Linked DNA regions of Oryctolagus cuniculus. The protein of the gene in region 2 binds, or shares a complex with, the protein of the main gene of each other region. Links are inferred from orthologs where the notes say so. Each region holds a gene or a part of one and is shown on either strand. Other genes may lie near its edges.

Evidence for each region. Proteins that work in one complex are often made in the same cells at the same time.
Region 1: POLR2K (region 2) and TAF1B share a complex: the UniProt entries of both Homo sapiens proteins name them as parts of the pol I pre-initiation complex. The link is inferred for Oryctolagus cuniculus from reciprocal best matches to the Homo sapiens genes POLR2K and TAF1B.
Region 3: the proteins of POLR2K (region 2) and POLR1B are in contact, whole or in part, in a cryo-EM structure (PDB 7OBA), measured with the Homo sapiens proteins. The link is inferred for Oryctolagus cuniculus from reciprocal best matches to the Homo sapiens genes POLR2K and POLR1B. Residues at the interface, in NP_005025.1 of Homo sapiens: Met15, Tyr17, Gly20, Glu21, Ser30, Arg31, Asp32, Pro33, Ile34, Arg35, Cys39, Gly40, Tyr41, Arg42, Ile43, Met44, Tyr45, Lys46, Lys47, Arg48, Arg51, Val53, Val54, Phe55; in NP_061887.2 of Homo sapiens: Val87, Ile92, Cys93, Lys94, Glu95, Val98, Ala101, Glu102, Gly105, Arg106, His159, His160, Gln704, Asp705, Val793, Phe794, Gln805, Asp808, Asp809, Asp810, Leu812, Pro813, Phe814, Ile815, Gly816, Ala817, Lys818, Leu831, Val848, Asn851.
Region 4: POLR2K (region 2) and GTF2H4 share a complex: the UniProt entries of both Homo sapiens proteins name them as parts of the TBP-based Pol II pre-initiation complex. The link is inferred for Oryctolagus cuniculus from reciprocal best matches to the Homo sapiens genes POLR2K and GTF2H4.
Region 5: POLR2K (region 2) and GTF2A1 share a complex: the UniProt entries of both Homo sapiens proteins name them as parts of the TBP-based Pol II pre-initiation complex. The link is inferred for Oryctolagus cuniculus from reciprocal best matches to the Homo sapiens genes POLR2K and GTF2A1.

Annotation. Positions count from the first base shown.
Region 1 is NC_091433.1:192,381,147-192,386,206, forward strand, and holds the start of TAF1B (TATA box-binding protein-associated factor RNA polymerase I subunit B), read right to left. Parts: upstream 3,005-5,060; 5' UTR 2,904-3,004; coding exon 2,886-2,903; intron 31-2,885; coding exon 1-30. UniProt on the Homo sapiens protein: Component of RNA polymerase I core factor complex that acts as a GTF2B/TFIIB-like factor and plays a key role in multiple steps during transcription initiation such as pre-initiation complex (PIC) assembly and postpolymerase recruitment events in polymerase I (Pol I) transcription.
Region 2 is NC_091437.1:125,591,909-125,596,971, reverse strand, and holds POLR2K (DNA-directed RNA polymerases I, II, and III subunit RPABC4), read right to left. Parts: upstream 3,244-5,063; 5' UTR 2,541-3,243; intron 1,946-2,540; 5' UTR 1,937-1,945; coding exon 1,876-1,936; intron 1,581-1,875; coding exon 1,488-1,580; exon of another isoform or gene 1,457-1,487; intron 862-1,456; coding exon 839-861; 3' UTR 508-838; downstream 1-507. Other genes in the region: SPAG1 (sperm-associated antigen 1), read right to left, coding at 1-39. UniProt on the Homo sapiens protein: DNA-dependent RNA polymerase catalyzes the transcription of DNA into RNA using the four ribonucleoside triphosphates as substrates.
Region 3 is NC_091433.1:113,612,505-113,617,441, reverse strand, and holds the start of POLR1B (DNA-directed RNA polymerase I subunit RPA2), read right to left. Parts: upstream 3,005-4,937; 5' UTR 2,902-3,004; coding exon 2,725-2,901; intron 566-2,724; coding exon 398-565; intron 231-397; coding exon 84-230; intron 1-83. UniProt on the Homo sapiens protein: Catalytic core component of RNA polymerase I (Pol I), a DNA-dependent RNA polymerase which synthesizes ribosomal RNA precursors using the four ribonucleoside triphosphates as substrates.
Region 4 is NC_091436.1:139,556,723-139,561,480, forward strand, and holds the start of GTF2H4 (general transcription factor IIH subunit 4), read right to left. Parts: upstream 3,005-4,758; 5' UTR 2,784-3,004; intron 2,174-2,783; 5' UTR 2,171-2,173; coding exon 2,031-2,170; intron 1,734-2,030; coding exon 1,629-1,733; intron 1,006-1,628; coding exon 874-1,005; intron 565-873; coding exon 468-564; intron 375-467; coding exon 286-374; intron 72-285; coding exon 1-71. UniProt on the Homo sapiens protein: Component of the general transcription and DNA repair factor IIH (TFIIH) core complex, which is involved in general and transcription-coupled nucleotide excision repair (NER) of damaged DNA and, when complexed to CAK, in RNA transcription by RNA polymerase II.
Region 5 is NC_091451.1:27,055,248-27,060,219, forward strand, and holds the start of GTF2A1 (transcription initiation factor IIA subunit 1), read right to left. Parts: upstream 3,005-4,972; 5' UTR 2,551-3,004; coding exon 2,521-2,550; intron 1,902-2,520; exon of another isoform or gene 1,765-1,901; intron 1,578-1,764; exon of another isoform or gene 1,472-1,577; intron 1-1,471. UniProt on the Homo sapiens protein: TFIIA is a component of the transcription machinery of RNA polymerase II and plays an important role in transcriptional activation. TFIIA in a complex with TBP mediates transcriptional activity.

The DNA of each region.
Region 1 (5,060 bases), on a different chromosome or scaffold from region 2:
ACATTGAGTACAGCGCTCCTGAAACTCTCTCTGCACAAGAGGAGAGAAAAGGTGTTACCGGCAAACACGCCCCACACTGTGTACCCTGCATTTCTGCGCAGTTCCGCACAGAGCTTTCCTGGCAATCTCACCCGATAAATACGAAAGCACAGAACATCGAAAAGCTCTCCGCGAGACACTGCGAACAAGAAGGGCGACTCAGTCTTCTGAGTAGTGAGCAACCACATTGGTGCTAAAAATCACTAAGACACAGTCTGTTAGCAAAAAGAAAGAAGTCAAAAATGTAGTGGTAAGCTAGAAAAAAGATGAGGTTTTTTTTTTTTTTTTTTTTTTTAAACAGGCAGAGTGGACAGTGAGAGAGAGAGAGAGACAGAGAGACAGAGAGAAAGGTCTTCCTTTGCCGTTGGTTCACCCTCCAATGGCCGCTGCGGCCGGCGCACCGCGCTGATCCGATGGCAGGAGCCAGGAGCCAGGTGCTTCTCCTGGTCTCCCATGGGGTGCAGGGCCCAAGCACCTGGGCCATCCTCCACTGCACTCCCTGGCCACAGCAGAGGGCTGGCCTGGAAGAGGGGCAACCGGGACAGAATCCGGCGCCCCGACCGGGACTAGAACCCAGTGTGCCGGCGCCGCTAGGCGGAGGATTAGCCTAGTGAGCCGCGGCGCCGACCCAAAGATGAGTTTTTATTAAAAAAAAAAAAAAAATCCCTGAAGGGCTTGACATGGTGGCATGGCAGGAGAAAGCTACGCCTGCAGTACCCACATGCCACAGCCAGTTCCAGTCCCGGCTGCTCCACTTCCCATCTGGCTCTCTGCTGTGGCCTGGGAAAGCAGTAGAAGGTGGCCCAAGTCCTTGGGCCCCTGCACCTGTGTGGGAGACCCAGAAGAGGCTCCTGGCTCCTGGTTTCAGATCAGCCCAGCTCTGGCTGTTGCCACCATTTGGGGAGTGAACCAGCAGATGGAAAGCCTCCCCCACACCTTTCTCTCTCTAACTCTGCCTTTCAAATAAATAAATTAAAAAAAAAAAAAACACCTTGAAATAGTGCTGTGAGAAAAAAATGACAAAATGTAAGAACGCATCAGTACAGAAACACCACTTGCAGTTCCTCTGGGACACTAAAAGCACACATTCACCGCAAGGAACCAGATTTCTTTCTTTCTTAAGATTCATCTATTTATTTGAAAGGCAGAGACACAGAAAGAAGAGAAAGAGCTTCCATGAGCTGGTTCACTCCCCAAATGGCTACAATAGCCAGGGCTGGGCCAGGCCAAAGCCAGGAGCCAGGAGCTTCTTCAGGTCTCCCACATGGTGCAGGGGCCCTGCACTTGGGCCATCTTCTGCTGCTTTCCCAGGCAGGGAGCTGGAACAGAAGTGGAGCAGCCGGGACTCGAACCGCTGTCCAAGCATCGACACCGCAGGCGAAGCTTAAACTTAACCCTCTACCCACAGCGCCAGCTCCGGAACCAGATTTCTTAAAAGATTTTTACTTGCGCGGCAGAGAGAGACTGACAGAGCTCTCCCATGCCCTGGTTCACGCCCCAAATGGCCACAAGAAGAAAAGCAAGGCCCGGCCACAGCCAGGAGCCCCAAGCTTAACCTGGGTCTCCCACTGGGTGGCAGGGGTGCCACCGCGCTGTCCCCAGGGTACCCGGCAGCAGGGGGACCCAGGCATCCCGACCAACGTCTCGGCGGTGCTCAAGGCCAGCTCCAGAAACCAGACGTTCGTATGCGAGCTCTTTCAAGTTTCTGCTTATTCTTCGGGCCGCGTAACGGGCATCAACTCTGGGCGCAGCACGCATTTCGGTGGGCGCTGGGGGCTCGGGGGCAGCCGGGCACAGAAGTGAACCACCCAGCAGCCCTCCCTCGCTCCTCTGAGAGAGCCTATCGCCACGTGACTTATCGCTGATCAGATACCCAGCACTCCTGAATCCGCTCCAACGACCCGGAGTGTGTCATTCATAGATAGATAGATAGATAGAATAGATAGATAGATAGGCGTTCCAAGGAGTGTGTCAAAGATACATAGATAGATAGACAGACACCCAGAGTGTGTCATTCATAGATAGATGTGTCATAGATAGATAGATAGATGTGTCATAGATAGATAGATTGATAGATTGATAGATTTAGATAGATAAATGTGTCATAGATAGACGACCTGGAGTGTGTCATTGATAGATAGATAGATAGATAGAATAGATAGATAGATAGGCGTTCCAAGGAGTGTGTCAAAGATACATAGATAGATAGATAGATAGACAGACAGACACCCAGAGTGGGAGTGTGTCATTCATAGATAGATGTGTCATAGATAGATAGATAGATTGATAGATTTAGATAGATAAATGTGTCATAGATAGACGACCTGGAGTGTGTCATAGATAGATAGATAGATGTGTCATTCATAGATAGATTGATTGATAGAAACCCGGAGTGTGTCATTCATAGATAGATGTGTCATTCATAGATAGATAGATTGATTTAGACAGATAGATTGATTGATTGATTGATTTAGATAGATTTCTGTCGGCAGCTCGGTAACGTCTCCGGCGACCCCGTGCTGGGCCGGTCGCTGGGCACCTGCGGGCGGGAGTCCTGGGGGCCCTGGGGCTCTGCCCGCCGCCCCTGCAGCACCCAGGGGGCCCCGGGGGTGGTCCCGCCCAGGAGCGAGGAGCCACGCTGGGGGCCGCCCCGCAAACCTGAGCGGCCTCACCCTCCGCCCTCGGCGACCCCATCCCGACTCCAGCCGCTCCCCCAGCCGCGCGCCGCCCTCCTGCCCACACCGGCCGCGCAGCCGGCTGGCGTCCTCCCGCCGCTCCTCCTCAGCCTCACTGCCCTCCGGCCACGGCGCTCGAGGGGCCGCCAGGCAGGCACTCCGCCTCCTTACCGCCTCCTCCAGGTCCATCACGCCGCCACAGCCGCCACAGCCGCCGCCGCCAGGGCCCGTTACCCAGGCAGCGAGCGCAGCTTCCGGGACCGTCGGGATGAACCTTCCGGCCGGAAGCGCACGCCTCCGAATTTAGGTTCCGGGCACCCGCGGCCGGAAGCCGCCGCGTGCCACAGGACGCGGCTGCGTACATCCCGCGTGCGCCTCCCAGCGAGCGTCCTTGCCCGGTCTGGGTCTGAAACCAACCGAAGAGCAATGGGGCGACGCCAATGCCGGGGGTTCCTTCACGGTCGTGTCCCACGGTCCGACCCTGGCAGCCCCACGTGCTTGTTCGGGTGCGAGGAACGCAGTGCAGCAGGGCCCTCGCTGCTCAAGATGGACGATTCTGGCCCTTCCGGTTGGCTGGCCACGGCTGGCCACCCCTTCCGTCTTTTGCTGAGGGGCCACGAGACCTGGGTTTCCAGTCGTGCCTCGGCCTCAGTGTCCCTCTGCAAGCATCAGACGTTACCTGGGAGCACCTCAGGTGTTGGGTGCTGACCGCGCCTCCCGTGGGACTCAGGGAGCGGACGCTGAGTCCGGGAGTCAGCGGTGCCCGAGGTCCACCAGCGCCCCGGCCTTCGGGGAAACTGTGTTCTGGTGCGGAGAGAAGAGGTAGAAAACAAGGAAGGAGAAGACGCGCTCAGGCCGCGGAGTGGTGATGCGTGCCCAGGCCAGTGGGAGCGAGAGGGCTGCCGTGTGAAGTGGGTGCTGAGGACAGGTGTCCCCGAGGGGATCTTTGACCAGAAAAATAAGAAAGGGTCACCTGGAAGCCTAACAGGAGGGAGGAGATGAAAAGAGCAACATGACATTCTGTGGAGAGGCTCCACGACTAATACTACGTCTTTGAAAAGGCTGAGAAATTCAGCAGACGCTGGAGACGGAGCAGGAGAAAAGCGAGGTTCATCAGTACCAGGACAGCGGATCTCTACAAACACCGTGCACGTTCATTTAAAAGATCGCAAGAGGAAGTCGTGAACAACCCTAGGCCAATACGTTCGGGAAAGAAGAAATGGGAAATTCCTTAAAAAAAAAAAAAAAAGAGTTATCAAAAGGTATGCAAGAAGAACTAGAAAAGCTGAACAATCCTTCATTTAAAACACTGCCTCCATGAATTAAAAATTCTCAGAAAGAACCCCCCAGGTCAAACGGCAGAGCTGTAAGTTCTGCCAACCTTTTGGGAAAGAAGTGATACCCATCCTACATAGACTTTTTTTTTTTTTTTTTTTTTTTTTTTTGACGGGTAGAGTTAGAGACAGAGAGAAAGGTCTTCCCTCCGCTGGTTCACCCCCCACATGGCCACCACAGCCGGCGCTGCGCCTATCTGAAGCCAGGAGCCAGCTGCTTCCTCCTGATCACCCATGCGGGTGCAGGGCCCAAGGACCTGGGCCATCCTCCGTTGCCCTCCTGGGCCACAGCAGAGAGCTGGACTGGAAGAGGAGCAACCGGGACTAGAACCAGTGCCCATATGAGATGCCAGCGCCGTAGGCAGAGGATTAACCAATTGAGCCATGGCGCTGGCCCATAGACTCTTAAGATAATGGAGAGGGGGTGTGTGTTTGTCAGCCTCCCTTGAGGCAAGCACAGCCTTGACACCAAAACCTGATAAAGATATTTTAAGAAACTCAGTATTAAAGACCAGTCTCTCAGACACAGACACGGAAGTTCCAAACAAAATGTCAGCAAATGGAGTGTGTTCCATTGGCTCCACTGCCGCCCACGTGGAAGACCCGAATGCAGTTCCCAGCCCCTGGCCCCTGGCCCCTGGCCCCAGGCCCCTGGCTCCTGGCTTCTGGCTCAAGCCCGGCCTGGCCCTGCCCATTGTGGACTTTTGAGGAGTGAGCCAGTGGGTGAGAGAACTCTGTCTGCCTTGCAAATACATTTTTTAAATAGAAAAAAAATTTCTTTTAAAAAAGTTAGTGTAAGTTGAATATATATTTTGTTGTATTCAACAGTACATAAATATGGTAATAAATCACAACCAAGTTAGGTTTATTCTAGGAATGCAAAGTTAAGTGTTAAGTAAATAAGTAAAATAGTAAGTAGTGTGGTACAAGGATAGAATCAAAGATCAATGGGACTTGGGGCCGGCGCCGTGGCTCACTTGGCTAATCCTCCGCCTGCGGCACCGGCATCCCA
Region 2 (5,063 bases):
CAGTGTTGCAGCACAGGGTGCCACGTGCGATGCCAGCATCCCATGTGAACACCAGTTCAAGTCCTGGCTGCTCCACTTTTGATCCAGCTCCCTGACCCTGGAAAAGCAGAAGATGGCTCAAACATTTGGGCCCCTACATCCACATGGAAGACCCAGTTAGAAGCTCCTGGTTTTGGCCTGCCCCAGCCCTGACTGTTGTGGCCATCTAGGGAGAGAACTAGAGATGGACAATCTCTTTCTCTGTCTCTCCCTACCTATCTCTGCAACTCTGCTTTTCAAATAAATCTTAAAAAAAAAAAAAAAAAAAGCAACCATTAAACCATTTCCCTTTCCTCATCCAAGGTTTGAAAAATACTCATACAGTATACAGAAAGGCCTATTACTTACCACAGGACATGTAGTATATGAAAAACTGAACTTAAAATGACATACGTATGCTGACAGCAAACACACTGCTACATTCTGTACCAAAGACACTGGAAATTTCACAAACATCTCATGACACAGTGATTTCCAAGGAATTTATTTAATTAGACTTTCAGAGGGCTCTAAAAATCTGCATTTTTCACAAAGACCCCAGATGATTCTAGGTTCTGCTTGCAAGCATAGTTTAAGAAAGTAATTTTAACCTTCATTTGTGTCACATTACATAAACAATAAAATTAAATTATAAGTCATGTAATCTAACTTCTTTACATTAAAAGATACCTAAATACAATATGGTTCAAAATGAAATCATACGTAGTTCAAAAAGATGCTAAACCAAAAGCCATACAACAATGAGAAACATTAACAGCAAATGCAAGTACAAATGAAGATATTCCTCTGAATGCACATTTCAACGCGCATCAAAGACCACCACTGTATTCATCTGAGTTAAGGAAAAAAAAAATGTAGTTGAAAATTACAGAAAAAGACTGAAGACTTCCAAATCACTTTACATGTGCAACAAGCTAGTTTGTTAATTTAAAATGCACAAAGACCTGGAATTCACTATTTATTACAACAACTAGATATAAAGTAAATAAAAGCTTTCAATTTTTATTAGCACTTTTCCCAACCAATGAAAAAAAACCCAATGTATCAAAAAGCACTGAATGCTAAAGGTAATAACTTGTGATTTTAAAAAAGTTATGTTAGAAAATTACAACTCACTCTCAGTGTTTAGTCTCATGTGTTGGCTCCACTTTTTCCTACTAAGTAGCATACACAATATTTGTATTACTCCTTGTATAATTTATTTGTCAAGCTGAACAATCAGTTCTTATGTAAATACAGAATCTCTGGAAAATAAACTTATGAGAATCAAAATCAACTAGTATTTCAATTATTTAGTGCTTCAGTTCTTGTCTATGAAAAATGCTAATAATATCTCTTTAATTAATCCAAAGTTCTTACGGTTTCTACCAGAAGTAGTGTCTATCAACCCCTGCATCACTCTACAGTTGGCTCCTACCTCAGATTTTAAAAGTAGAGTTAAAGGATACATCTTTTTGTCCTTTTCTTGTACATTATTCTGTATCCACATTCTCTGCATCTGATTGGATCCCTGGATTTTATTTCATTTTCAGTGTGACATTCTAGGGAGAAAAAAAAAAAAAAGGCTTACTCAAATTTAAAAGGAAAACAGTGCAGACAGGCAAATTATCTTAACCATATCAGGCAAGGGTATGATATTACAAAATATACTAAATGGGAAAGAAGAGAGTTGTGGGCAATGCTGTTTTTCCAGAGCAAATAAGAGTTTTAAGTGGTGCTACGAGGCGCTCCTTTATAACTTTAAACACCAATGACTCATTCATTCAAAGGATAAATGTAATAATTTCAAAAACAAATTAAGCAAAATACTCTTACTTTATGTAGCGTTATCCTTACCTCCACAAATATATATCATTGGCTGCTGCTTTGGGGGCTGAACGTCTTTCTGGGCGTCCATTGTCAGTCCCTGCAAACACAGAATCAAATCCTCAGTATTTCAAAGGGGTTCCTCACAAACCCGAACAGCCCTCCCTCCCCTTGTTTTTTCAGGAAAAACTGAAAGAGATCCCAGTTCCCCCTCATCTGCGCTCTTCTCCGTGCCTGGGAGTTAGGTCTAAGGGGCAAACCACACAGACACACACAAGTACTGAGAGTCGACCCCAAACTGGGCACGACAGAAAATGATCCGCATTTTGTTCCTTCATTATAATCTTCACAACAACCCTCAAGTGTCACTCCTGTTTTATACACGAAGAAAGCGAGGCTGAGAGATACTAGTTTGCGCAGGCAAAAGGATTCAGATTCGGCTCAAAACTCGAGTTCTCATCTAACACATGAATATCCCTCCAAAACGGAACAGACTAACCGCCGGGAAGAATACTAAAATAATTCCCAATGGCTAAACAGCTCAACTAAAAGAAACCAGGCAAAGCACTGACGGCACCAACTCCTCCACCAGCATCTCCTGACTCTAACCTCGCACTGGACCTTCTTAGCCCCCAAGTGTCTTTCTGGTTTGGCTCAAATACCCACACCTAAACCCCAGCCCCATAACTCCTTACCTGCGTAGAACGGAGAAACTCCGCATCTGCTCCCAACACGCAGTGTCGCTGTCAACTTCCGGCGCTGGCTTGTGACGCAAGACGAGCACCGCCCCTTCCGCCCCGGCCCGGCCCGGAAACCGAGTTTGCGCAAGACTCTAAAACTAGTTTCTTGCTCGCAACGGACTCTGTGGACATCAAGCACATTTTTTAACACTTAGCTATTCTCATTTTTCAGGAAAGAAAATCATTTTAACAGTTCTTCAAAGGAAGTTTGTATTTCTGACTCGTGAGATTGGCGGAAATGAACGCTTTTCCGGAAGGACCGAGACTAAGAGGGACGGAGGTGACAAGTGCCGGTGGAATCCTGAACGCGCCGTTCCTCTGATGACTTAGACTCGGTTAACCAGTGATTTTTTTTTTTTTTTTTTTTGTTACCCCGTAGAAAAGCACATTCTAGGCTGTTTTCAGGTTGTTGGGTACCTGTGCTGGGGCTGTGTGCCAGCCGCCTCCCGTCCTTGTCATGCTTGATCGTGTTTTTGCTCTCCAGCCCTTTGCTTCTCCCTCGCCTCCACGCCTGTTACTCGTTTTACAGTGCAGGCGCACCTGCGGGGCAGCGCCCTCGACACCTCGCACTTAAAGCTAAAGGATTTTGGTAGCTTTAGCGGTTCACTGGCCCTCCCTTGGTCCCATGTATTCCTAGGAGAAAAAAAAAAAAAAAAAAAAAAGACGTGCTTGTGGGAGTTGCATTCTTTCAAAGAATATTCAGTGGCATAAATGCCGATTAGATTCGAACATTTACATTCATTTACTTCTTTCACAAAAGATATTTTACTTAGAATAGAAGCAGAGCTAAGAAAATGAAATTATTACAACTTTATAGAAATAATTAAAGATTTATTTATTTGAAAGTCAGAGTTACACAGAGAGAGGAGAGGCAGAACCAGAGAGAGAGGGGACTTCCATCTGATGGTTCACTCTCCAATTCGCAGCAACGGCCGGAGCTGCCCGATCTTAAGCCAGGAGCCAGGAGCTTCTTCCTGGTCTCCCATGTGGGTGCAGGGGCCCAAGGACTTGGGCCATCCTCCACTGCTTTCCCGGGCCATAGCAGAGAGCTGGATCAGAAGAGGAGCAGCCAGGACTAGAACCGGCGCCCACATGGGCTGCTGGCGCTTCAGGCCGGGGGTTAACCTGCTGCGCCACGGCTCTGGCCCCAGAAATAATTGTTAACAGTTATTATAAAGTTAATTGTAGAAGCAGGCTTGCTTCCCCCACATGCACTGTGTCTTTGGTATCTTATTAAGTAGGACTCCATCCATCAACTTGAGAACTTTAGCTTCACCTTTCATTTCCAGAAGTTAAAACTGTGTGGTTGCATCTCCACAAACCAACTTGAGACATTCAACTGGGATTTCCCTGTCTTTCCAGGGGGCAGGAGTTTGGCCTAGCCCAGCTCCACTTCTCAATTCCAGCTTCCTGCTGATGGCCGTCCTGGGAGGCAGCAGTTTCTGGCTCAAGTACTTGATTCCCTCCCACCCACATGGGAGAACTGGATTAAGTGACTGGCTCCTGATTTCAACCAGGGCTGTTGTGTGCATTTGGGGAGCGAGCCAGCTGATTCACTCTCTGCCTCTGTGCCTCTGTAATAAAATAATAGTATTAGGGCCAGCATTGCAGTGTGGCAGGTAGGGCCACTGCCTGTGACATCAGCATCCCATATGGGCAGTGGTTCAAGTCTCAACTACTTCTCTTCCAATCCCACTCCCTGCTAGTATGCCTGGGAAGGCAGCAGAGGATGGCCAACTGTTTGGGCCCCTGCACACACGTGTCAGATCCAGAGGAGGCTCCTGACTCCTGGCTTTGGTCTGGCCAAGTCCTGGCCAGTGAGGCCATTTGGGGAGTGAACCAGTGGATGGAAGACACCTCTCTCTCTCTCTCTCTCTCTGCCTTTCAAATAAATAAACATTTTTAAATGGAGATTTTCACATAAAAAATCAAATATTTTTGGGGAAACAGCAATTTCCTGCTTCTTCCTCCACAAACATGCTAACACAGCATACATATGACCATCACCCCTGTTACAATCAAAGAGAAGCAGTCATTCAATACACGAGTCGCAATAGGCTTCTGTACGAGATGTATAGACAAAGTCATTATCTTAGGATAAAGATGAGAGAGTGGTTCTAGAACTGCAACTCGTTTCAAGCTGTCTTGTTTTCTAACAGCAATCAAAGTATCAAGGTGATTCTGATGATGCGTGGAGATGAATGGATCAACCCATGTAGAATTCGAATGGATCCTGCCTGGTACCCTATGAAATGGTAGGGTAGTGACAAATGATAGCACAGAGATTCAGATCTACACGTGTACATACTTGTTCCCAGTATGATACCTACCTTCCTAGCAGCTGGAACCGGGAGTTTCAGCGTCACTCCATAGCACGCTGAAGCATGCTCTATAGAAGCTACCCTTTGTCAACAAGAGCTAGCTTTCCTTGAGCACTTACTGCATGGCAGACATCACTGCATTGTTCTGTGCTAATGA
Region 3 (4,937 bases), on a different chromosome or scaffold from region 2:
CTGGAGCAGAGAAAGAAAACCCGCTCCTAGCACGTTTCCCACCCTGGAACTTCACTGCCCCGGGGCCCGGACCCCACCGCTACCTCTGCCTCCTCGTGGTGCTCAATGAGGGCCTGGGGAGAAAGGTTGTACAGGTTGCAAAGCTTGGACTTCACCATGATGGGAACATGGCCGAGAAACTGCTTAATGACTCCTTTGGAGGTGCCATTTACTGCCCAGCTGATATCAGCCTAGGTGAAAAAGAGAAAAACACTCTTAGGAAGCAGACTACATCGAATGACTTCATGCTTCAGGTTTCAAAGACGGGCGCTCTCAGACGCCAGCACCAAGAAGGCAGAATTCTGTATGAACCCCAGAAGCCATCCGCCCTGTGGGAGCCAGGCGCGGTCACACTCACCGTCAGCTTCCCACGGTAGGTGCTCCTTCGGCCCCGGCATTCTGCTGGGTACACGTTGAACTCTCTGCAGATGGTGCCCTTGGGAACCGTGGGGGGACTGATCACAGCGTCCACGATGGTAAGAGTGATGCGCTCATCTTTGAAAGCGAATTCAAAGGGAGCTATGGCCTGGAATACAATACGCATGATTACACGGCCTGCATTTCCAAGGCACTTTTTCTCTAGGACTCCTGCAAATCCCTGTGTTCCTTAAGCACTGAAGCCCGCAACGCCACCGTGACAAACAGAAGAGAGTTAAGACGACATGCGGTCCACTCTTCACTACGCACTTCAGGCTGCCACGCGTTAACTCGGGGTTGTTCTGTCTGCCATGAGCAGAGCGAGGAGGCTCTCAGGATACAGCTGGCACCAGGCCAACGCGCCTGCTCTCTGACCCCAGCGCCGACCTTCTCCAGTCTGACCCTGCTCAGACAGCAAGGAGAGGGAAGCCTCCTTCCGACTGGGCTCACACTGGCAGCCCACCAGACACAAACAACCCTCCGGCTTAGTGTTAGAATGACAGGAACACGGACGGCGGAGCCGACTAAGAATACACAGGCCATCCGCCCTCATGTGAATTCAACCCAGCTTTTCTCAGTTTTATCTAAGACTGATGGTACTTTAGAACTGAAATGTTAAATATATTTCATGTCTAAGGGATGTAGTGTCAAAACAGGGAGAGGCAATTAGAAGATCTGCTTCGGGGCCGGTGCTGTGGCTCACTTGGCTAATCCTCCGCCTGTGGCACTGGCATCCCATATGGGCTCTGGATTCCAGTCCCAGTTGCCCCTCTTCCAGGCCAGCTCTCTGCTGTGGCCTGGGAGGGCAGTGGAGGATGGCCCAAGTGCATGGGCCCTGCACCCGCATGGGAGACCAGGAAGAGACACCTGGCTCCTGGCTTCAGATCGGCGCAGCGCCGGCCGTAGCGGCCACTTGGGGAGTGAACCAATGGAAGAAAGACCTTTCTCTCTATCTCTCTCTCTCTCACTGTCTATAACTCTACCTGTCAAATAAATTAAAAAAAAAAAAAGAAGAAGAAGAAGAAGAGGAAGATCTGCTTCTCCAGCTCCTGGCTCCGGTCTGGCCCAGCCCCAGGTGTTGCAGCCATTTGGGGGGTGTACCAGTGGATGGAAGACTCTCTCTCTCCTCCCCTCCCCAACTCTGTTACTCTGCCTCTCACATAAATAAATCTTAAAAAAAAAAAAAAAAAAAAAAAAAAAAAGACTCACTCGTGCAAGCCACAGCTGCACTCTCGGCAGGTAAACGCCGCTGAGCCTTGACGCTCACGTTAGTGAAATTCTTTAAAGTTACCGCAAACGCTGACCCACGCTCCGGGGAAACACGAAGTCAAGTCCCTGAGAGCCTCTGTCACAGCTTGCCATCAGCCGATCAGTACAGAACCTCGCCCTACCTGTTCCTGTTAAAGGGCGCCTCACTTGATAGACGGCTGAGCAGCGGGCGTTCAGCTTAGCACTTATGATGCCCACATTCCACCCTGGAGCGCCTGCACCTGCGTCCCAACTCTGACTCCGCTTTCCTGCGAATGCAGACCCCGAGAGGCAGCGGTGATGATCAAGCAGTTGGTCCCTGCCTTGGCCCAGCCCCTGCTGCTGCGGGCATTTGGGGTGGCGAACCAGTGGGCAAGAGCTCCCTCTCTCTTCCTCTCATATAAATAAATAATAAATTTAACAGCAGAATGGTCTGAATGAAGCTTACCTAACGTGTATTTTCATCACAGCTTTCCTGTGCCCAGCAACAACACAAAGTACTTCAATGTATGTTTTCAGGCACTATTTCAAGTTGCAAAATTATCAACAAACAGTACAAAAATGTGAAAAAGGCTGCACCAGACAGCAAAAAGAACAGGTGTTTATGTCTGAGAACTGAAATCGAGAGGCAGAACACTGTCTTATTGGATCTCAGCTGGGAACGCGCGCATCGGGCAACTCAAATGTTTGCTGTTCTACGCACGGAAAGTCACAAGTAAATTTTAGTGAGTAAATGAATCTGTGAATTAGGAATCCCCGAAGGATGAAACTAGTTGTGTTCTGAAAAAATCCACATGATGCACACATGAATTCTGAGCCGCAGAATCGAAGGATCCACTCCACAGAAGCTAAGCAAAACCGGAGCCTCCCCGGCGCCTCGCCGGGACCCCGTCGCCCGCCCGCCTGCGGGACCTTCTCCCCCACGAGCCCCCAGCCTCATGCACCCTGCCCAGCCCCCTCCTCCGCCAGCCTGCCGGCGCACACAGCCCTCCGAGGCGCCGGGGGAGGCACCGCGCTCACCTGCACCGCGTGGCCGAGCCCCTCGCGCACCGCGTAGTTGAACGACTCCACGTGCGCCCGCGTCAGCTCCTGCAAGGCCGCCTTTTGCTGCTCCCGCGGGATCCCGTAAGAGGGGTCGGTCAAGTGCTTTAGGCTAGGCCCGCTGGGCAGGGTCCGCCACCGGCCAACCGGATCCATGTGTCCGCCGGAGCACCGAGAAGCCAGCGGCAGCGCGCCACACGCAGGAGTCGCTGCCGGAATCCCGGCGCCCGCGGCCTGCTGGGAAATGTAGTTTCTTCATGTTCCGCCCGCCTTCGGCCCTCCGGTGTTATAGGGTCGACTTGGAACCAAAACCATGGAGCGAATGGACCGGTTAGAACTGTACAGAACTAGAACAGGGCGAGAGCGCACCTTCAACTCTCTTCCGCCCCACTCAAATCCTTCCTTCCTCCGCCCCCAAATACCGGAAGTGAAGCTTGCTGCAAGCCCAATTTAGCTGGTAACCTCTTTGGTCCTTCTCGCTCAGTAAGGATCGCCGGAGAGCGGACTTGGGGAGACACTCAGCTCGAGTTGTGGCTTCAAGGAGAGCGCGGTCTTGTATTGAGTTCCGGGCTCTAAGCTTTGCCCCTGGCCCAGCCCTGGCTGTTCCAGACATTTGGTAGTGAACCAGCAGATGGGAGCTCTGTGTCTGACCGTCTGCCTTTCCAATAAAACATGTTCTTCCGCTTTAAAAAAAAAATATTTATTTGAAAGAGAGCGAAAAAGAGATCTTCTGTCAGTTGGTTCACTCCCTAAATGGCTGCAACCCAGGCCACCGTCAGGAGCCCAGAACTGTTTTGTTTTTTGGTTCTTTTAAAAAATGTATTTATTTTATTTGAAAGGCAGAGTTACAGAGAGGGAGAAAAAGAGATCTTCCACTTGCTGGTTACAGAGAAAGGGGGAGAGAGGTCTTACTTCCAATGATTCATTCCCCAGATGGCCACAGTGGCCAGAGCTGTGTTGATCCAAAGCCAGGAGCCAGGAGCTTCTTCCGGGTCTCCCATGCAGGTGCAGGGGCCCAAGGACTTGGGCCATCTTCCACTGCTTTCCCAGGCCATAGCAGAGAGCTGGATCAGAAGTGGGACAGCCAGGACTTGAACCAGCACCCATTTAGGATGCTGGCCCCACAGACAGAGGCGTAACCTACTACACCATAGCACCAGCCTGGAGTCCAGGACTCTTTATCTGGGTCTCCTGTGTGGGTGGCAGGGTCCCAAGCACTTGGGCCATCTTCCACTGCTCTCCCAGGCACATTAGCAGGGAGCTGGATTGGAAGTGGAGCAGCCAGGACACAAACTGTTGCTCATATGGGTTGCAGTGTGGCTTAACCCACTGTGCTATAATAGACAGCCTCTGTTCTTCCATTTTAAAAAATGAAACCCATTGTGTGTATTGTATTTTTATTTATCTATTTAGCTAGTTGGTAGACATTTGGGTTGTTTCCACTGTTTGGCTATTACAAATAATGCTGTGAATATCTGCACAAGTTTTTGTATGGACAGGTTTTCAATCCTTTTAGGTTTTATAGCTAGAAATGGGATTTCTGAGTCATACATTAACTACATATTTATTTATTTATTTATTTATTTATTTTGAGAGGCAGAGTGAAAAGAGATGAAGAACTTCCAACTTGTGATTCTTTCTCCAAATGCCCGCAACTGTCAGGGCTGGGCCAGGGCAAAAGTGAGAGCTTAGAACTCAACCCAGGTCTCCCACATAGCTGACAGGAACCCAATGACTTGAGCCATCATGGCTGCCTCCTGAGTTTCACATTAGCACCTGGACTCAGGAACTGGAGCCAGGAGTGGAGCCCAGGCATTTCACTGTGGTGCATAAGAGCCTTAGCTGCAGACTTAAATGCTAGGCATTGCCTGCCCCCGTGCTTAACTTTTTGAGGTTGTAAAGAACTGTTTTATGAAGGAACTGTTCCACAATTCTACATTCCCCACACCAATGTATAAAGGGTCTGATTTTTTCCATCTCCTTACCAGTACTTACTATTGTTTTTTATTGGCGGCATCCTGTTATATATAGGATGTTACATATAGGATGTGCCCATATAGGATGCCGGCTCTGCAGGCAGCAGCTTTACTTGCTATGTCACAGCACCGGCCCCTGCTTCACTTTCAATTTAGCTCCCTGCTGATGCACCTGGAAAAGCCGAGGAGGATGGCCCAGGGACTTGGGCCCTTGCA
Region 4 (4,758 bases), on a different chromosome or scaffold from region 2:
GGGCGGGCGTGTCCAGCAGCAGGAACTGGAAGCCGGCGGAGGTAATGCAGGGGGGCTCTCCTGGCTCGGCACTAGAGACGCAGGGGGCAGTGATGGGGACAGGCAGGGAAGGACCGTCACCGCCAGCAGCGCTCTCCGGTTCCCGCCTGGTGTCTTTAGGCTCTGCTGGACCCAGCTCTGCTTTTGCAGTCAACTCCCTCGAACCTGGTCCCACTCCAGACACCATTTACCAAGGACCCAAAGAGACGGCAGAGCAGGGAGTCGCGTTACCTCCAGCTTGCTCACCTCTTCATGAGCCCAGCCTGACTGAGGAGCTGGGCCAAGTCCTGGCTGACGGCCGCACTCGGGGAGCCCACCATGAAGTGCAAGACCACCTGCAGAGCAGAAGACAACACAGAGGCTGATGCCTCTGCGAGCCACAGATGCAGCGGCGCGAGCGCAGAACCGCAGAACCCCAGGGGCCTCACCTCCCATCGCTCCTCTGCGTACTTGTCGAGGGAGGGGACATCCCGGGCATGCTTGTCGGGTCCCAGCTGACTTGTGTCATCAGACCAGGCCTTCCCCCTAAGGCCAGGACGCACCAAGAGGTGAGGAACCTTGGCTCTGTTCCCTGCTGCCTGTCTGCCCCCTCTCCACCCTTACCTCAAGGGCCATGCATAGGGGACACTTCCTACACCATGCAGCTGTATCTGATTCAACTTCTCCCTAAAGGAGTTCTCAAAGGTGGGCCCCGCAAGGCTCCAAGGAGCCCCACTCCCCGCCAGGAGTCTCCTCTCCCCTCCAGGAGTTCCCTCTCCCCCCAGGAGCTCCCCCTCCGGCAGCTGAACTACCTGTCCCCCTGGGCTGGCTTAGGAAGAGATGGAAGTGACATACCCACCGAGAAGGGCGACGCGGAGGTTCTGGCGGAAGACGGGGTTGAGGATGAGGCCCTGGAGGCCTCCAGGGAGCAGCTGGGTGTGCCAGATCCGGAGGCCGCTCAGCAGCCCCGTACTTTGCTCCTGAGCCCTGGAACAGAAGCCGAGATGAGTGCTAAGTGGGTGTCCCGAGAACAAAACGAAGGAGGCCCACACAGGCTCCACTTCTGCCTCTTCCGAACCATTTCAGAGTGAAGTCACTGTCTCCTAAACACAAATTTCTTCCTTTTTAAAAAAAGATTTATTTATTTATTTGAAAGGCAAAGATACAGAGAGGCAGAAGCAGAGACAGAGACAGATCTTCCATCCGCTGGTTCACTCCCCAGATGGCCTCAATGGCCAGAACTGGGCCAATCTGAAGCCAGGAGCCAGGCGCTTCTTCCGGGTCTCCCACGTGGGTGCAGGGGCCCAAGCGCTTGGGCCGTCTTCCACTGTTTTCCCAGGCCATAGCAGAGAGCTGGATCGGAAGTGGAGCCCACATGGGATGCCGGCACTGCAGGCGGTGGCTTTACCCACTACGCCACAGAGCCAGCCCCTAAACACAAATTTCAGAACCTTGCTACAGACATCACAACTCTCCAAGAAGGAAGACACAGCATGCAAGCTTTGTGGTGTACCTATTAGTATTTCCTGAGAGTGTGCCAAAGAACAGCAGTTTGAGAAATCTAGCTGCTGAGAAATTTGTATCTGGCTGAGAGTGCCGTCGAGACTCACTTGCTGAACTCCTTCTTCACCCACAGGGCTACGGCAGCTTGCGGCAAAGGCTGCTCCAGAAAGAGCATCCGCATCACCCAGTTCTTAGCCAAAGATGGGAGCTCTCTGCAGAGGGTAGAGGTCAGAAATCAAAACCAGAAGCTGCCTTCTATCTCTATCTCTGCCTGACATGCCTCTCAAACATCTCATCTCACCAGAAACACACACACACACACACACACACACACGTATCTTAACCAGTCCTGCTGTCCCCAGAACCCCCATCTGTTCCATCTGCATCAATTTGGAGTAATTCCCAAGCCGTGCCAGGCTGCTACGGTTCTGCCCAGGATAACTCATTGCCGTCTGCCAGCCCTACCACATTTCTCCACCACAGTTGCTGCCGTGAAGGGAACTCCTCACCTGAAGACAGCCAGACAGGTGGCAGGGTGCCCATACAATCGATCCAAAACCCCAGGGCTTAGGCTCCCTAAGAATTCCTGCAGATTCCTGCATTGTAGATGCACCCGGTTCAGTCCACCCCTAGAAGGGGTACTCTCCATCACCTGAGAGACAAGTGTTAGCCGCACACCCCCGCGATCCACACCAGGGTCACCCCTGACCTCTGACTCCAGATCCATCAGTCCCCACAGTAATACCCGTGGTGTCCGTTCCCAGGTCATTTATCTCCTGCTGTCTCTCCAAACCTGACCAGCCTCCCCTCTTTCCTGCCTCCTCATCCCACTTCTGCCCACCACTCCAGACTTCCCTCAATTTCCAAGTTACTAACTGGCCTCTACTTGCAAAAATCATTTTGGTTGCAACGACCTGTCTTCTTTAGCTAAGCGGTAGCAAAGAACCTTGTCTGCGCCCACTCTCTCCCTCCGCCCCTCCTGCAGAGCAGTCTGCAAGCTCCAATTCTGTCCGTCTTCCCCATCCTCTACTTCGCACCCCTCTTCTGCGAGGTACGGCAAAACAAACCTCTGCTCTCCACGCTGCTCAAATCCAGACCCACCACTTCCACCTCCCCCAAGTCTACCTCACTGCGTCCACCCCGATCCACACCGTCCCATCCCCTAACTTCTCCCCGACTTCTTCTCCCCGACTTTTCTGCCACTCCCCACCCCTCTCTGCTCTCTTCTACCTCCGTCTACCCGCCCTCCCGGGCCCGCTCACCACTCTGTGCCGACCCCCCTCACTCGCCCCGAGTCTCCAGCCGTCACTTAAACGGAGCCGATGTCCCGGAGATGGGGGAAAGGATGGTCAGGAAATGAGAGAAAAAGATGGAGAGCAACGAGGGATTTCACAGCAGCCCAGAATGGGGAAAACAGAAGAGAAGGAAAGGAAGAGGAGTGGAAAAGTGGGGAGGATGAAAATAGGCGCTGCACTCGGGGGCCGCGGGGCGTACTGGGAGTTGGAGTCCTGTCCCTACGCACCTCGGAGCAAACTGAAGCTATTCTGACTACAACTCCCGAAAGGCAGCGCGAGGAAGCCGGGCGGAGACAAGCTGGCCCTTGAGCGAGCCGGGCCGCCAGAAGTCGGACCATTTTGTTCCGCGCCTCTCTCCGCCCACGCTGCTAACGGCGCTTCTAAACGGCGTGGACCGAGGCGGGACCTGGAGAGAAATGCCCCGAGGGCTTCTTGGTGGAAGGGCGCCAAAAGGCAGGGTGGGGAGGCACTTGGAGAGCACAAAACTAGATTGTTTGAGGTCAGAGGTCCCCCGCGTAAGCGCTTTCGCGAGTTGACTGCTACCCCGATCCCACGCGCCTTGACTCGCGGGCATTCAACAAGTCTTAGTGTCTTTCAGCATGCTTCCAATCCCTGTTTAGTTAGAAGACCTTAATAAATAGGCTGGTTTTTTAAGATTTATTTATTTATTTGAGAAGCGGAGTCACAGAGAGAGAGAAGGAGAGATAAGGAGAGAGGTCTTCCATCTGCTGGTTCACTCCCCCAGTTGGCCACAATGGCTGGAGCTATGTTAATCCAAAGCCAGGAGCCAAGAGCTTCTTATGAGTCTCCCATATGGGTACAGGGTTCCCAAGGACTTGGACCATCTTCCACTGCTTTCCCAGGCCATAGCAGAGAGCTGGATTGGACCAGAAGCAGCTGGGACACAAACTGGCATCCATATGGGGTGCCGGCCCCTTTAATAAATAGTTTTAAACATAGCAGGTTAAGCCACGACGTGCAGTGCCGACATCCCATATGTGCGCCAGTTCCAGTCCTGGCTGCTCCACTTCCGGTCCAGGTCTCTGCTAATGTGCCTGGGCGAGCAGGGGAGCATGTGGGAGACCTGAATGAAGCTCCTGGCTCCTGGCTCCTGGCTCCTGGCTTTGGCCTGGCCCAGCCTGGGTGGTTGCGGCCATTTGGGGAGTGAATCAGCAGATGAAAGATCCCTCTCTCTCTCTCTTTTTCATATAAAGGTGCCTGAGCTCCGTACCCTTCTCTGGCTCCTGCTAAAGCAGACCATGGGACCAGGTGGTGATGGCTCAGGTACTTGGGAGACCTGGATGGGGTTCCTGACTCCAGATTTCAAACTCCCACCCCCCAAGGTCATTGAGAGCATTTGGGGGAATGAAACAGTGGGTGGAACATCTGTCTGTCTCTGCCTGTTAAACTTCAAAAATAAAAAGATAAAGCTTGGGGAGAAATGTTCGATGAAGTAGACAGAATGCAAAAGGCTCTTCCAAAGCAAAAAGACAAAAAAAAAAAAAAGATTGGCAAAAGAGATCACAAGCAATAAGCAGGAAAAATACAAAGCCTTGTGAAGAGTTGGAAAACCATGAACCGCACTAGTAGTTAAGGAAAAGTCAAAGAAACAGAACATGGGGCCAGTGCTGTGGCACAGCAGGTTAAAGCCCTGACCTGAAGCACTGGCATCCCATATGGGCACCGGTTCTAGTCCCGGCTGCTCCACCTCCAATCCAGCTCTCTGGCTTCGGATCGGCGCAGCTCCAGCTGTTGCAGCCATCTGGGGAGTGAACCAGTGGATGGAAGACCTCTCTCTGTCTCTGTTTCTACCTCTCTCTGTAACTCTGTCTTTCAAATAAATAAAATAAATTTAAAAAAAGAAAACTTCAGAAATTAAAGAAATGATAAAATGTTAGTTAAAGAAATTAAGACTTGACAGCTTCAGTGTTGTCAAGGTGTA
Region 5 (4,972 bases), on a different chromosome or scaffold from region 2:
AATCCACCTATGTGAACTTGATATTATCTGTTAAAAGAGCATCTCTACAATGCTTCCTCCCTTCAACATTCGGAGTCTATATATAAGCAAACTATACCTGACTATGGGTATCATCTTGCTTACAACAATTTAACTACTGAGTTATAGAAATATATCTATAAAATGTACTTTACCAATGACTCCACAAGGCATTATAAATAGGCAACATAATTTTAAGTAGGTGGTTTAAATCTCAATTTGATGATACACATTATTTTTTCAGCAAACCGGATGTTTCTAAAGTCAGTTACCCTAAAACTCTTGGAGACCCAAATGTCTACAGGAAAAAATCTGTTTTCTTCTGGTACTCCTCCCTGTTGAACAAATCAAACATGCCTTTGAGATGTTCTTTTTCTGCCTTAAATGAACCAACACTTGGCCACCTAATGTATTCATAATCACTATAGTGGAGGCATGAAGGGAATATGTATTCCTTATGAGGTCTATGCTTAAAGAGGAAAATTGCTTACAATTTGAAAAGCCCTCAAAATACTGATGTCATTAAAGGTTCTTGGGAATTTGAAATCAGTGATTTTCAAATTTTTAAAAAATTATCCTTTACTTGAGCGAAGTTTTTTGCTAAATGAAAAGTAATTTATATTTGTCCTGATTTTTAAAGACAATTCCAGGCTCAAAATGTGGCAAATTAGAAGGTCATTAGTGGCCCAGTCAAGTGATCAACTCGAAGGTTTCTTTCAAAAGTATCAGTACTGCTGCAATCCTGGCATATTAATTGGAATCATTTTTATATTGGATACCAAATTAATATCCAGGGCAATAAACCAACACCTACTTAGAACTTTAATATTTTAAAAGCCAGTTTGCAGTAGGTCTCCTCATTCTTGTAACTCACAATTGTCCTACACAGTAATGTATGTGGATAAACTGAGGCTTTAGGAACTTAGCTGTTTCTTTGAGAAGCGTCATATCCTCATTAGAGTAAAACATGAAACACTGCTAACATTTCCTGAATACCTGATGAACAACATGCTATCATAACCAAGTTCTAGTCCAACAACAAAATCATTTAAAAAATTCCCTACAATAACACGCACACCTTTCAATACACAAAAATCGACTAAACCATCCGTGTTTTAAAATATCAAAAATGTTAACATAAAAAAAGGACTCCAATAAGAGAGCGCATTTCCCCAAACAAAGGAAGCAAATCCTAGCTACCGCATCCAAACAAAAAACTGGGGCTCTGAAAGCAGCCCTCGTCCGCTGGGAAATTACAGCCTCAGAAAAGGACCTAGAAATAAATTGAGCTCCGCACGCGCCTGCCTCTCGCCTCGGGAGCACGCACCTCCCAGCCCCGCTCAGCAGCTCTCACTATTTAAAGCCGGATCTGGTGTTTAAATGGAGAGGCGGTGACGTAGGCCTGAAAAGCACCTTCCCATCCTGGCAGAGTCTATATTAGAGAGCGGCAATGGCTCTATATAAACAGGGCAGCCAAAGGGAGGAGGACCACAAGGCTCAGGGACTGAAAAGCAGGGTAAGCGGCCGCAGCCATGATGGATCGACCCGAGTCGCCAACGGTACGGTGTCGGGCGGCCGCGGGTTTGTCCGCGGCATTCGGGACCGGGCAAAAACGTGTTTTATTGTCGTAGTAAAAAGAAGAGTTGGGTGGGCTAGTGATCACACTGCGTTGGTGACTGAAAAGGTTATTTATGTGACTGCTTTTTGCAAACCTACGTGATCGCAAGGAACCAAAAAGGGACTCACGGGAAGAAGTAGGCAAATTTCAAGGCGCAAGCGGGGCACTTTGACCACTGGAGGCTTTTTGGGGTTTGTTCTGGTGCTTTTGCTAGTTGAAGATACGACGGGGGTTTTGCTTCCCCTTCGCCATTTTACCCATTCGGAAGGAACTGAGATAAGTGCTTTTCAACCTTCGTCTGTTTTTTTTTTTTTTTTTTTAACATAAAATGGCCCCATTGAAGGTCCCCAAAGCACAACCGCCAGGAAAAAAACAAAAAACAAAAAAACCCAAAGTAATCCTCCAAGTAACCCTAAGCCTTCCACTGCGTTCAAGTGGATCCCGGCGGGTCCCGGGAGCTGGCCCAATTCCCCAGCCGCGGATCTGATTCCGAGGCCGCTTGGGGAGCCTGGTCGAGCCGGCGCCGACGGGCCCCCTTCGCGGGAAGCGGCGGCTCGCCGCCCGCCCGCCCGCCCGCAGGCCGGGGCCGGGGGCCGGGGCCGCGCGCCAGCCCGGGCCCAACGGCCTCCGCGGCCCGGACCTCCCCAGGCCCCGCCGGCGCCCCCGCCCGCCCCGCCGCCGCCGCCGCCGCCGCGAGCCCTCGGCGCCCCCCCCGCGCCCGCCGCCCCGGCCCGGGCCGCCCGAGGCGGGAAGCGGCGGCGGCGGCGACCGCGCGGGCGGCTCCAGCGCCGAGGCCGGGATCGCCGCCGTCCCCGCCCCCGCCCGGTCCGGCCGTTGCTGCCGCCTGAACGAAGCCCCCTCCGGCCACCGAACCACGTCCTTACCACGGTGTTTGTATTTGCCGAGTTCGCCATTTCCACACACAACACAAACAACACGGGGGTAACCCCGGGAAAACACGGTCAAAACAAAACCAAAAAGAAAAAAAAAAAAGAAAAGAAAAACCACCCGGAGGGCGACCCAAGTCACCACAGATTGGGGCAAAAAATGGAAACAAAATCGATTCTGAGGGAGAGGGGGAAGCGGTGAGAGGAGAAGGAAGGGGACACTCTCTCCTCCCGAAGCTAAAAACCTCGAGAAATGCCTTAAAAAAAAAAAACACGCCAAGACCCTTCGGGGGTCCGGGGGGCGTTGCCCACTCCCCACCCCGTGCCAAGGAGGGAAACCACCGGTCACCGCTCCCCGCGCCGCCGCTGCCGCCACCGGCTGCAGCTCCAGCCGTCCGGTCCGCTCGCTTCTCCCCTTTATATAGCGAGCCAACAAGCTGCGCGAGCCGCCGCCGCCGCCGCCGAGAGACAGGGCGGAGGGGGAGGGAGGGGCGGAAAGGGCGGGGGCAGAGGTGGGCGGGGCGGAGCGCGAGACACCGCGAGAAGCCGCGTGCGCAGGCGCGCCGGGGCGGAGGCCGCCTCGCGCCGCGTCGCTACGCGCGAAGGAGGGCGCTGGGCGGGCGGAGCCCGGGGACTGGAGTAGTGGAGTTGGCCCGCCGGCTCCCCAAGTCTCGCGTGATCACGTGGTTGGCAACCAGGCGGAAGTCTCCTGCAGCCCTCTGCGACCGGGAGCTTGCAAGGCATTGCTGGGAAAGGTGCGCGAGTTCTAGTGACACCCGAGGGCTCAGCTAGCTGGGAACGCCTCCTGTCAGACGTCTGCGCGCCGAGCGGCGCTGCGGGAGCTGGGGTATGGGAAAGGGGCGGTGGCCGCCGCCGCGCTCGGCGCGGCCGAGGAGGAGCGCGGGTCACGTGGAGCGGCTTCCGGGCCCCTGGCGCGCCTGGCTCGGGACAGGGTGTGAAGTGCGGAGTCATCTTGTGGCCCCGGGGCTGCGCGCGTCTGAGTGGGCCTCTTCTCGCAGGGCTGAGTCTGTTTCAAAAGCGGGTGGGAGTCTATTTGGGTCCTCGGTCTGCACGGTCCAGAATTAGCAACCTCCGAAGCCGGCGCAGCTGTTTGTCCCCACGCTGAGTCTGGGTATCAAGGATTTGGGGGCGAAGTGTCCCCAAACTTTCGGCCCCCGCTAGCCCGCGTGGTTTTAATGACTTCGCAGCCTGATGGAAATGACAAAGCGCGAAACTCCAGCCGCTGGACTATGGAAGAGCGATGACTTTGCCTGGCGTTTTAAAAATGTTGCCAACATGCCATGACTCCACGTGGCTAGCCTGGAGTGACTAATCACACGTGAAGTACGAGCCTTTGACCCACCAGTTAACACGGCCTCTCCCTGCGAGAGAGCTGGGAGCATGTGTCCGTGTCGTGGAGGGCATTCGATAGGCGTTTGACCTGCTTCACCCAAGCAAAGCCAGCTTTGATGTCAACATCTCACGCGGAACAGAGTGCGCTGTCCCGAAGGCAGAACCCTCAGTACCTCATTTTCTCTAGCCCGGGAATTTTGAGTGAGGGGGTTTATCTTCAAAAGGCAAAGCAAAACAGAATATCAGAAGAGTTGTGTGGGTGAAACCAGGTTTGAAGACTTATCAAAGGCATGCTACCAGGGGGGGGAAGATGCACCTTGCCAGGCTCCGGGAAAGGATTAGAAAAGCAAGAGGCCGTTAATAGAAAATGGGAGATGGCAAATAGGAATGTGAATGGGTGAGGGCGTACAGTGTATTTAGCTCTATGGTTTAGCTCCTAACTCCAATCTGCCCTTCACAGTTTGTTGCTTAGTAGTTCGCTGCACAGCTCCTGGTCGGAAGTGCTTAAAGAAAAAATTAATCACAGGACATCTGTGTTCCTAGTAGCTTATGTGAAACTGATTCTATCAACATTTTTTGTGTAGTTAAGATTCAGGTGGCAATTAGCCTGAAAATGTACCCAAATAACATCACTCTTAGTAGTTCTCCCTGCAAAGTGTTTTAAGAGGACTTTTTGTTTCCTCCTTGGAGGTACTCCCAATTTCATTGAGATCCCTCACCTTCCGCCTAGTTTTCTATCCTATCACCTGATACACTTGACTAAGTGGTCAGGTATTTTGTTATCAATTTAGGTTGAGACCACTGCAGATGGACAAGGAAGTAGACCTATGAAATTTGTGCTCTGCACAACGATTCTGCTCTAAGGCAATGAGATGTATGTGCCAGTGGGTCTGATTTGTGAAATACTGGAATCCCCTCACTGGATTAAAAATGTCCTTATGACTTTCACACTCCCTAGAGGGTCTGAGTTGACCTCTCTTTATGCCTTCTAAATGGCTGCGATACCTAAGCACTTTACTAATACCCAAGTCTCTTCCTTTCTCTGATTCATGTGCTTGACATCTAAGAAACCCTCAAGGATTCCATTCTAACTAAC